Linked DNA regions of Drosophila melanogaster. The protein of the gene in region 3 interacts with the protein of the main gene of each other region in a pairwise test. Each region holds a gene or a part of one and is shown on either strand. Other genes may lie near its edges. The genes, in order: CG4707, CG33672 and Prosalpha7.

Region 1 (4,523 bases), about 15 Mb from region 3:
AGCCCCGTTACATCCTGGTCCTCCAACTCTGATTTACTGCTTCTTCAGCTCGCTGATCTCGTTGCGTATGTTGGCGCGGGCTAGCTCTTCGTACTTGTCGTGGTAGTCTCCAGTGGCGTAGATGGAGGGAATCATCAGCAGGGTCTCCAGCACCTTGATGCGCATGGCCTTGTAGGTGGCATCGTCGAGATTGGCGTACTCCGAGCGAAGGAGAGTTGTATAGTGCTTGTACTCCTCCGGCGAAGCACTTTAGTAGTGTAAATGGGTTTTGAAATACACGGACAATGATTGCACAAATACTCACGCTAGGACCACCAGGTCTACGTCCTGCAGCAAGTTGGCCTCGTCGTCATGGCACCAGGTCAACTGGTTCTCCGGGGTCTTGCGCCCCAGCAAATTACATACCAGGCTTTTTGCATGGTCCTGTTTAAGGTAGAGCACGCCGAATATAGAGGTTTAGTTACACCGCACGCCTACTCACATCCTCGATGACGGCATCATTGCAAAACTCCTCAAAGACCTCGCAGTTCTTCTCCGCACAGCTGCGGTTACCATCGAAGTGGTAGTACTGGAAGAAGGCGGCCAGCACAATGTTGGGATTGGCCACGCCCGCCAAGTGCGGCTCCTTGCGCCGCATCATCTCCTCCCAATTGTGGTAGGCGCGAGCGGGATCCTCGGAGCTCAGGTGCTGCTGAATGCGGGCGAACCACTCGTTGGCCACCTGCTCGGGCACATCGTGGTGCTCGCACACCTTCTTCCAGATCTTCTCCATACTTGGTGGGTTGTAGGTGATACTTTGGCCTCTTGGATTCGGACTTGCTGATTTCGGCAGCAGTGATTCAGTTGGCTGGAGCTGGTCTTTCTGGAACTTTTCACTATTCGATGGGAATGTGGGGTGCAGGGCGCTGGCGATTGCGCACTGCCCAAAGAAGCCCCTACCACCACTTGGTTACCACTCGCGGGAAAACAGAAACTGCGCGTGCCGCCGACGCGGGCTTGATATTGTCGCAAAAATGGATTTCATTTATAAAACAGGCAACTTACCACCGTGTCCTTAGGATAAGCGTCCCTTTGGGGATCCTCGGCCGCCAGCTGCAACAAGATATTTGAGGCCATTGCAGAGGCCGATCCGCGCTTGTGCCAAGGTTGCTTCTTCAGACTGGTCCCCGTGGGATCCTTGTTTTTATTGGTTTCGCTCATTCGGGGCAATCGCTTCTGAATAATGCATTAAATGGTTAAAACTCTGATCTTTATCGACTCAACAAAGCTATGGGAAACAGCTGATACCGCAATGTGCGTTATGTTTTGGTATTTTTTTCAAGCACGAGGCCCTTTCCACTGTGCGAGGGGGCAATCTAAAAGGCGTTAGGGTGTAACTACATTGTACAGTTAATATAAATTTCTTGCATTAATATATTAAATTATATAATTCGCCCAAAATTGAAATTGCTTTAATACAATACAAAGATCAGCACATCAAATTGTTTTTCAGTTTCACTAATGATTATTCTGCTTGTCTCGATACTATCGGCTCACCAGCTCTTCATGCACGCCCCTGTCAACCCTGCTTTGCTTTGGAAAACAAATTTTTGCAAAATCGTAAACAAAAACTTTGTGTGGAAATGAAGCAGGATTAGGACTCAGCCAGTGCATCCGGTTTCGTCATGACTGTCTGTGTGCTCTGCCTGGACAGTAGCAATGCTGGCTACGGCCTACAATCCGAGGAAGGCGTCCGTCTGAACATTAGGGCGACCATCCACAAGCACTTCGCGTTCTCCGAGGTAAGCTCTGCGCCATAATCGCAAGTTTTGGATAAACCAAACCGAACTCTTCGCCATCCACAGGTTCTTACGGCTGGCGGTGATGCTGAGGTCTGTCGGGAGTGCTGGAACTGCGTTAGCAGCTTCGAGGAGTTTCACCAGCGCGTCTCCTGCCTGCACCGGCAGCGGAGCAGCGATTCCAAAAGCGAACCCATCGAATTTTGCGGTCAGACAGAGGAGGCCATCATTAATCCGCTATATTCTGTGGAGTTGGACGCGTTGGCGGAGGCCTTTTTTGCGCCCAGTGAGGTCAAGGTGGAGGTGAACGAACTAGAACCCCTGCCCAAGGTGGAACTCTTGGAAGACCCAGTTAAAACGGAAATCAGAACAGCTCCGAAACGGTTGGGTGTCCCAAACGAAGGCTCACCACACTCGAAGCGGCGCATTAAAAACGAGCTGCCAGTGGATAGTGACTCGGATGCACCTCTGGCCGATTTTTTAAACTCGGATTCAAAGAGAAGTTCAGTTGGACCCGCAAAGAACAGCGAAGCGAACAAGGGACGCCAGCTACGAAGGAGCGCAAGAAGAGGACGGCCACCCAAAGCTAAGCCGGAATCGGCTCCTTCCCCAAAGAAGGAACTGGACTCCGAAGATGGCGAAGAAAATGCCAGGGATAACAATGACATGGAGTTCGTGGCTCCCGAGGCTGTCTTGGGCACTGACGACAGCTCCAGTTCCTCCAGTGAGAGCAGTGGAGAGGATTCCGACCACAGCCTGCCGGACATAGAGCCTGAGGAACGTTACGCTGAGATTCCCAAGCGGGTTGTGGTGAAACCTAAGAAGTACCGAAAAAGGGAAAAGCCACTGGTTCCACCCGTTCGTCTGAGTCGGGAGGAGATTGAACGGAGGAAGCTCCAGCAAGACGAGTACGATGAGATTATCCTGCAGTTCTTCAAAAAGTTTCCGTGCTCTCTGTGCAATCTGCTGGTGCAGAACTTTGCGGACATGCGACGCCATCAACGCGTTTCCCACAACATCGAATCTGGCTACATCGAATGCTGCGGGAGAAAGTTCCACCTGCGCAAGGCTTTGGCCGAGCACGTCTTGGTCCACAAGAACCCAGATCACTTTATGTGCTCTCAGTGCGGGCGGGTATTCCAGGACTCCCGCGCCCTGGAGGTCCACGAGCAGACACACACAAACCCGGAGGTCAAGGCGGAGCCGAAGGAGAAGCGGATCTACCAGTGCGAGAAGTGCCCCAAGAGCTTCACAACCAAGGCGGCCATGGAGTATCATGACGTTTCCAAGCATGTCCCGAAATCCGAGTTCAAATACTCTTGTCCGGAGTGCAACAAGAAGTAATTGTCCATCAGGTATGAGGCATATGAGCAACCCCCCAAGTAATCCCTTAATGCTTTCAGGATTCCTACGGAACGCAAACTGAAAGAGCACTTGCGTTACATGCACGACCCGGAAGCGGCCATCATCTGCGATAAGTGTGGCAAGACGCTACGTTCACAAACGAATCTCAAAAAGCATCACGAGCTTGAACATTCCGAGAAACCGCGTCCAAAACCCGATCCCGTGCAGTGCGAGATCTGCGGCACCTGGCTGCGCCACTTGTCCGGACTAAAGCAGCACATGAAAACGGTACACGAGCCGCCGGGCGACGAGCACCGCTGTCATATCTGCAACAAGACATCCACCAATTCCCGAGCCCTGAAGCGCCACATCTACCACAACCACCTCTGTGAGCGAAAGTTCAAGTGCGGGATGTGCGAAAAGGCATTTAAGCGTCCACAGGATCTGAGGGTAAGTGTGGGGCTCACTTACAGAGAAATCTAAGTATTCGACACCTAATTTACAGGAGCACACATCAACGCACACCGGAGAGGTGCTGTACACCTGTCCTAACTGCCCCATGACGTTCTTTTCCAACGCCAACATGTACAAGCACCGTCAGCGGCTCCACCGAGCCGAGTGGGAGGCGGATCGCAAGAAACCGCTCCCGCCGAACATCATGAAGATTTCGCAGGGCGCCACCACAGCGATGAAGAAGCGCCAGACCAGCGGCGCGCTGTTCCCACAGTCGGAACAGAAGCAATAGCATTTGTCCATTTACGACATCCATAGATAGTAGATAAATCGTCAACCATTATTATTAACTCGCACTTAACACAGATAAGTTAAGCCATAAATAAGTAGACGTGGACATATTTACATCGATTTATGGGGGCTGAATCTTATCTAGCTATCGTCCTGCGGTATCCGAATTTCCTCGCACATCCCCTCCTCCCGGTGAATGCTCGCCCAGTGCTGTGAGAGCTCCCGGCTGATGGCCTTGCGGAACACCATGCACGATATGTGCGGCAACTTCTCGAAGCGTACCCGTAGCAGTCCAATCCTGGCCAGGGAGTAGCGCCAGTTTTTCATGAGGTGGGCGTTTTTGCCAACATGTTGGGAGTCCGGTGTGATGAGCACAAGGATGCCCTCGGGCAGCAGCAGGTCGTAGGCCTGAAGGCAGCACTGTAGTCTCTGCTCGGCGCTGGGCATGTATTCCAGTAGCAAACTGAAAATGACGCACTCGTAGTGGCTTGCTGGTAGCCTTCTTACGCTGCCCTCCTCCAGCTCAGGTTCTCGTATTCCGGGTACCACCTCCACTTTGAGGAAATCCGCCTGCAGCACATCTTCGGTGGCGGGACACAAGTCCAGGGCGGTTACCTCCAAGTGCGGAGCACTGGAAAAGGGATTGAAGCAGCTGCC
Region 2 (4,184 bases), 2.8 Mb from region 3:
TGGTCACCAATAAGGCAGACGGCTCTGAGGGAAGGACACCACTTTTTAAACTCATTTACCCAATTCTGAAGCGTTGACTTTGGCACGATGACGATGTGTGGTCCAGCTTGATTTCTGCACGCAAATATGGTATTTAGAGATTTCTTTAAAACAATAGATGTTTATGAAAACTCACTTGAAATGCTTGAGGTAACCCAGCAGAGATATGGTCTGCAGGGTCTTTCCTAGACCCATTTCATCGGCCAGAATTCCATTGATACCATTTTCGTAAAGCGAAATCATCCAGTTAAGACCGCGAATCTGGTAGTCACGCATCTCTCCACTTTTGATGTAGGCGGGTGAGGCATCGAAGCGAAAGATCTCCTTGGTGGCCGAGTCTTCCGCCAGCAACTCCTCATCCTCCTCCTGCTCTGTCTTGCGATGACGATGACTGTTTAATACAAAAGTACACCAATAGATAAAGTAGTTGGCTTTTTTATAGGGGGAGTTTAACTCACTCGGCCACATCCTTTTCCTTGTCCTTGTCTTTGATCTTCTTGGGTCTACCCTTAGGCTTCGTGGGACTCTTAGCGCTGTTAGTCATGAAGTGGGTGAATATCTCCGTCTGCTTTAGCAGGAAATCAAAGCGCCTACTGCGATCAGCCTCGATTTTGTTGTCGAACTCAGCCTCCTTTTCACCGGATGAACTGGTGGCCGCATCTGAAGTCGTCTCGTTCTGGCAGAGTTCAGAATATATGTATAGAAGTCCTTAGACAAAGCCTGCTGTATATTAACTTACCGAGTTCTCTTCGGTTGCCTCCACGGCAGCTGTATCTGTTTTGGACATATTTGCAATGCCGGCGTCTGTCTCTAAATGAACTTAATTTTTCCACAAATTTCCCCTCGCCAATCAAGCGTGCTGCACACTGGTGTCGTTTAATGTGAACTGAAAATCGAGTGTGCAACCTGTTAGTTATACTTTCAGTATATAAATAAAAGGCAATTTACACAAAACAATGTTTGTTTCGCTTAAACAAATTGTAAATAATTACATGCGATTTTTTTTAATGAATGGTGGGAAATCTGCGCGTGCTATCGCTAGATTATGCGATGAATGCGCGAAGTTGGCTGCGGCAGCGACGGTGGCGGCAAACAAATCGAGAATACGAACTATCGATAGTTTTGATGGATTACTATGAATGGCAGCACTGGCCGTGTGCCGTTATTATTAGTTTTAGACAAAGCCGTTATTCTGATTAATCAAATAGGTTATCTTTTTAAATTGTTTGCGTTTGTTTAAAAATTATTGCCTAATGTTTAAGTTTGAGATGATGGAATATAGCAGGAATCGAAAAGTCTAATGGGGTCTCATAATATTTTAGAAATAAGCCCTGTGGTGGAAACTGAATCTAAATATGACAATATGTACTACATCGTTTTAGACTTGAATGGCTGCCCCAAACTATATGAACAAAGACAAAATCTGTTAAATTACTTAGACAACCCCCATATTAAAGTATTTAATAGATATATCGCAAGAAACCCCCCGAAAAAGAACATTTAAAATGGTGCTAGGTGTGGCCAAGGTCAGCGCAGATAGAAAAACTACCACCCGGCTTATGGAAAACCTGTTTTTGCCTGAAGCCCAATACGGTCACACAACCACTCCATCACCTCGTTTCGTTTGAAAAAAAAACCATCCAAAATGAGTAAATACGACTCAAAGTACCTCGAGGAGAAGCTCAAACGGGAACTGCAGACGGAGTACGTGAGTGTTACGGACGAATCAGACGGCTGTGGCGGCAAGTTCAGCGCCGTAATCGTATCGCCAGCCTTCAGCGGCAAGACCCTTCTCCAGAAGCATAGATTAGTTAACTCAACGCTTGCCGAAGAACTGAAAGAAATCCATGCATTCTCCCAGAAATCCTACACACCCGAAGAGTGGGAGAAAGTGAAAGCCCAATAGTAGTACCGAATAAAAAAAAACCAACAACACACATACATATACACGAGCGATACAACAACAGCAAACACTAGCCGCAAAAACCTGTTGTTCGTTTTGCTGATGGTTGCGCTTTCCGATCGAAGAGACGAACAAGCCGAAAAACGCCAGTCGCACAAAGAAAGTGAAAGGGAAAGCACAGGAATCGGCAGCCAGAAATAGGAGTTACCGAATAAACAACGCAAATGATCCACTAAATGCATAAGTTACATAAAGAAATACAGCCATAAAAGTTTAACTACTTGTCGCAGGTCGTCCACTCGAAAGGCATTAGCATTACAATTCGAAACAGCTGATAAACCGATAAAGCCATAGCCAAACGGAATACAGAACACACAATACACGGAGATCATCAAGAACAATGCTCAAGTTCCAGGTCCATTCTCCGGGCAAGGTCATACTCCATGGCGAACACGCCGTGGTCTATCATCGTCCCGCCCTCGCCGCCGTAGTGGGTTTGGGCACTACTCTGAGATTTCGGCAGCTGGAGGACAGCCAGGTGGCAAGTTTTCAACTGGAGGCCCTTAACTGCACACTGGAGATCCAGTTGCCGGAGTTCAATGGATTTTTGGCTGAATTTAGGAGTAAATACCCATCAGATAGCACGGCCAATCTGTTGGAAGCCGTCCGCGCAGAGGTGTCCAAACAACTTGAACGATCCGGAGGCAATGCACCGAAGCAGCACACCCAGCGGGCATTCATCTCCATATACTATTTGCTGGCCGGCGCTGTACTCTCCGCACCCGGCGACAAGAAACTGACGCTGCAAACCGGTTTCCAGGTGCAGGTAGACAGCCAGCTAACCGTGGGTGCGGGTTTGGGCAGTTCCGCCTCTTTCGGAGCAGCTTTGGCCACGACATTTCTCATTTTGGCCGGACACTTTGATAGAGACAGCTACTTGTCGGAGGCAAACCAGGCGTTGATCTCGTCCTGGGCTTATGAATCGGAGCGTGTTAATCATGGCACGCCCTCGGGTCTGGACAACACTGTATGCACCTACGGCGGAATGTTGCGGTATGTCAAGGGCCAGGGCTTCCAGTCGCTGAAGATCCAGAAACCACTAAACATCCTGCTGGTGGACAGTCGTGTGAGTCGCAGCACCGCCGACATTGTGGCCAAGGTTCGTCATCTGGGAGATGCCTTTCCGCAGCTCATCGAGGCCATTTGGCAGGCTTGCGAGGAGCTTGTTGCCGCCGCCGTTCCACTCTACGAAAGCTTTGGCAACGCCCAAGACGATAGCTCGAAATTCGAGCAACTTGAACGCCTGTTCCAGATCAACAATGATCTGTTGAAGGCTATCGGAGTGTCGCACCCGAAACTGGAGCAAATCTTCACCATCGCTTTTAAGCGTGGCTTCTTTTCAAAGCTGACGGGCGCCGGCGCAGGTGGCTATGTCATCGTTCTGCTTCCAGAGAACTACGAGTGCAACGAGGTCTACTGGAAGCTTAAAGAGGAGCTCGAATCGGCGGGTTTTGGTGTTCATGTTACGACTGCCGGCGGCGAGGGATTGCGCGTTAGTTCGCTGGATGACTGATGCGGTTTCGTTTTGTATTGCTATTGTATGTATTCGTGGTTTTGTTATAAATTAAAGAATAAAGATTTATACATGTATTTTGTACGGCAATCTGTTTGTTTATCGTTGACTTCTGTCCCGAGATTTGTAGACAATTCCACGATTCTTCATGTCACGTAAGGTAGACTGCGGCAGTGTTCCGGATACAGAAATGGCATAGATACCACGAGTAAAGCGGGCTAAAGGAAAATGATTTCAAATATATCAGTAATACCCTTTTGGAACGGAAGTCATTCAGGCCTTACACAATCTTTGCCACTTGGCCACCCAGGAGTCGGTGGGCGTAGTTAGGGCAATAATTCCGTCAAAGTTGTTGCTAGTGTGATCATAGACATTGTCCTTGTTGTTTTTCATTCGCAGGAACTCCTCGCAGTTTTCACAGCCATCAGTCTCAAATTGATCAAAACTCTGCGGGCGATAAATGATTTCAATGAAAATGTGTGTCGAGTCTGGGCAAAATATAACCCACCTTCACTAGGGAGCAAACGAGGCAGGCGCGAAGTCCTCGCAGATCCTTGGGTATCGCGTCAAAGGCCATATTTACTTATCAATTATGGGTTTAAAACTAAAAATACAAAATCCGTGCAAAACCAAGCCACGACACTGACAGAGTGACCGTACTCTAAAATT
Region 3 (3,382 bases):
ACGGATGCAAAGCCAGTAGCTCCGTTGTGCGTCATGGCCACGCAACCGATAGTGGACGTGTGGCAGTTGGCCTGTTGAGTCAGAGCCTCAAGCGAGCAATCTTTGTCGTGCTGAAGCCTCCAAAGCCGAACGCTGCAGTCCTTTCCCACCGAAATCAGCAGATTTTGGGATGCAGCAAGGGACATTACCGTATCCGAGTGACCCACGATCAGCTTGCAATTCATGTCGTGTTCCGTGTCGTACAGCTTGAAGTGCTTGCTGTTGGTGGCAACGGCCAGGTAGCGATCGTGTTCGCCCATAAAGCACATGTCTAGGATCTCGTCGTTGTAACCCACCAAGTGTTTAATGGGTTCCAGGGTTTCAACGTCGTAGACCAAAATATTCTGCTCTGTAGTGACCAGGGCCAGCTGTTTTAGCTCGCTGCAGTGCAGCAGTCTACTAATTTGGAAATCAGATTGAGAAAGAATATCCCTGATCTTCCAAGATTTAGGGTCGACCTGTTGCAGCTTGCCCGATCCGCTCGCCACGATTATCAGTTGTCCCTCGTCTGCGTACACGACTCCCTCAAGCTCATCGTACAAGGGAAGAACCTTCAACTGCTTGCTTTCCAACTGCTCCTGCAATTGCCACACGATCATAACCTTGTCCCGGCTTACAGTCACGATTTCATTGCAGTCGGACGCGTTGCTCTTAAAGCTCAAGCCGGTGACTTGCGACAGGTGACCTCGCATCTTGTGCACAAGTGTCTTCGTCTCGTAGTTCCAGGCATAGACAGTGTTATCCGAACCTCCGGCGTAGATCTCTTTGCGCAGCACATTGGGATGAAAGACGAGGAGCCAAGCGGGACCAGGGAAATCCTTGAGGGCACCCAGACAGCTGTTGTTCGAGTAGTCCCACAGCCTCAGTGTGGCATCTGCACCGCCGCTGGTGCAGATAAGCCTGCCGCAGGGACTAAACTCAACTCGGATGACTGGTCCCTTGTGCTGCGCCTTCCACAGCTTCACCAGCTTCCCAGTGTCCAGCTGCCACAGCCTAAGCAGGCCACTTCGATGGGCAGTAACCAGATGCTCCTGTGACAGCCCGAAGCAAGTAATCGTATCCTCCTCCACATCGATATTGTCCAGCTCCGCCGGCCTCTTGTTATCCGCCGACGGGGAAGACAAGCCGTAGCTATTTAGGATTTGGGAGGTCTGCACATCCACCTGGTTTACAGCTGAGCCATTGAGGCAGTAAAGATGATGGCCATTCGGGCTCCAGGCGATGTCGCCGCCGGCGTAGAAGTTCGTGTAGCGGGCCTCCGCCGCATAGCTGGATTTTAAAATTGTTGTAGTCTTGCAATCATCAGGTAATTATTAAGTTTATGTTACCTTTTCTCGCTGATACCCGCCAGCATGATTTTCGTTGTTTATAAATACAAAAACCGCGTGCGCCGCGGATCAGAACATGAACGGAACTAGTTCGAAATGTTACTTTACAGAGCATGTAAGGGGATATTCGAAATGTATAAGTAGAAAAGAAAAGAATGATATTAACTTCAACTGTGCTAAATAAATAAAGTACCATGAATTGGTGATTTATTTTTAATCATTCGAATTTTATCTGAAAAAATCGCGATTGGTATACGATTGGTTTTTATTGACGATAGTCGTTCCGAAACTATCGAACCTCCTTGACCGATAGGCCCCTTTGTTTTGTCCACCACTAGCCAAGTAAAAGCCGTCAAATCATCGTCGCATTCGACCCAAGGAATTAAACTAATTTTTGCGTTTGAATTGTTTAAATTTTCACAAAGTCTTCGCTATGAGTACTATTGGCACTGGAGTAAGTGGTCAGCGAACTACATATCTGCAGATCCCTAACGTCACCCTCTCGCTTCCAGTACGACTTGTCGGCCTCGCAGTTTTCGCCTGATGGCCGCGTTTTCCAGATCGACTACGCCTCAAAGGCGGTGGAGAAGAGCGGCACCGTAATCGGGATTCGGGGCAAGGACGCCGTGGTGCTGGCCGTGGAGAAGATCATCACCAGTAAACTGTACGAACCAGACGCCGGCGGACGCATCTTCACCATCGAAAAGAACATCGGAATGGCGGTGGCCGGCTTGGTGGCCGATGGAAACTTTGTGGCTGACATTGCGCGTCAGGAGGCAGCCAACTACAGACAGCAATTTGAGCAGGCTATCCCGCTTAAACACCTGTGCCACCGAGTCGCCGGCTACGTTCACGCCTACACTCTGTACAGTGCCGTCCGCCCCTTCGGACTTTCCATCATTCTCGCCTCCTGGGACGAAGTAGAGGGGCCACAGCTCTACAAGATCGAGCCGTCCGGCTCCTCCTTCGGTTACTTCGCCTGCGCCAGCGGCAAGGCCAAGCAGCTGGCCAAGACTGAGATGGAGAAGCTCAAGATGGATATGAGGACCGACGAATTGGTGGAGAGCGCTGGTGAAATGTACGTTTACAGCAAAAAAAAGGGACTGTTTCAAAAATCGGGCGGGCTTTATCCTAGTTCCGAGTGGAAACTTACTTGCTCTGACAATAGGAAGCATTTTTGGGACATCTATTGCACTTAGAATCTAGGTTTTTATTCATAATTAACATATCTATCCTATGTCTTAGCATCTACAAAGTCCATGACGAGTTGAAGGACAAGGACTTCCGCTTCGAAATGGGTTTGGTGGGCAGGGTAACCGGTGGCCTACATCTCATAAATCCCTCAGAACTGACGGAGAAGGCGAGGAAAGCCGGCGATGCGGCCAACAAGGACGAAGACAGCGACAATGAGACGCACTAGTTCGTTTGTGTGCCAGTGAATCTAATTCTGGGCCTCATACATAATGTTAATTTTATATTTCCCTAAAGCGCAAAATGAATAAACAAAATCGGGTGAAATTTAAGGTTTTTATATTTTTATACTCTCATTCTTTAATAGTTATCGTTCGATATAAATATATTGGCTCGCTGGTTATCGGATCTGGTTCCTTTTGAATGTGCCTGCAGCTATTAAACCTCGATTGCTACAAAGAAAAACCTTATCGCTCACAGCTGATGCATTTCGCGCCATTTGTTGTACTTTATTTTGGTTTTAACGACGCACGACTGGAATTTCAGTCTATTGTTAATAACTACAATGACTACCTTAATAGAACAGTTAATTACGAAAATGGGCCTAAGGGAGGAGCCAAACGTGCTAGAGTAAGCGATAAATAAATAGTTTTAAAGGTTTACCCAGTAAGATCGAATCCTTTCAGGAAAACCACCGAACTAGTACGCCTCCTGGAACTGCGCTCCACGAATGTCCCTCTGCAGATCAACGAGTACGGAAAGATAGTGCTGTGTGCGGATCTCGCTTCCTGCATGATTGGGATCGCTTTCGACAAGGAGCAGGC

The links.
Region 1: the proteins of Prosalpha7 (region 3) and CG4707 interact in a two-hybrid assay, tested with the Drosophila melanogaster proteins (one large-scale study listed by BioGRID).
Region 2: the proteins of Prosalpha7 (region 3) and CG33672 interact in a two-hybrid assay, tested with the Drosophila melanogaster proteins (one large-scale study listed by BioGRID).

Annotation. Positions count from the first base shown.
Region 1 is NT_033778.4:24,604,043-24,608,565, reverse strand, and holds CG4707 (uncharacterized protein), read left to right. Parts: upstream 1-1,542; 5' UTR 1,543-1,664; coding exon 1,665-1,781; intron 1,782-1,844; coding exon 1,845-3,118; intron 3,119-3,181; coding exon 3,182-3,572; intron 3,573-3,627; coding exon 3,628-3,867; 3' UTR 3,868-3,971; downstream 3,972-4,523. Other genes in the region: CG42361 (uncharacterized protein), read right to left, coding at 34-247, 305-423, 482-772; CG42360 (uncharacterized protein), read right to left, coding at 1,045-1,200; Samtor (S-adenosylmethionine sensor upstream of TORC1), read right to left, coding at 4,008-4,523.
Region 2 is NT_033778.4:12,633,585-12,637,768, reverse strand, and holds CG33672 (uncharacterized protein), read left to right. Parts: upstream 1-1,627; 5' UTR 1,628-1,684; coding exon 1,685-1,945; 3' UTR 1,946-2,342; coding exon of another isoform or gene 2,343-3,515; 3' UTR 3,516-3,603; downstream 3,604-4,184. Other genes in the region: Iswi (imitation SWI), read right to left, coding at 1-114, 176-430, 498-715, 779-826; Mvk (mevalonate kinase), read left to right, coding at 2,343-3,515; spt4, read right to left, coding at 3,615-3,733, 3,800-3,962, 4,024-4,092.
Region 3 is NT_033778.4:9,846,136-9,849,517, reverse strand, and holds Prosalpha7 (proteasome alpha7 subunit), read left to right. Parts: upstream 1-1,681; 5' UTR 1,682-1,800; coding exon 1,801-1,821; intron 1,822-1,879; coding exon 1,880-2,445; intron 2,446-2,612; coding exon 2,613-2,787; 3' UTR 2,788-2,882; downstream 2,883-3,382. Other genes in the region: CG1671 (uncharacterized protein), read right to left, coding at 1-1,308, 1,368-1,393; Orc6 (origin recognition complex subunit 6), read left to right, coding at 3,124-3,188, 3,245-3,382. UniProt on the Drosophila melanogaster protein: The proteasome is a multicatalytic proteinase complex which is characterized by its ability to cleave peptides with Arg, Phe, Tyr, Leu, and Glu adjacent to the leaving group at neutral or slightly basic pH.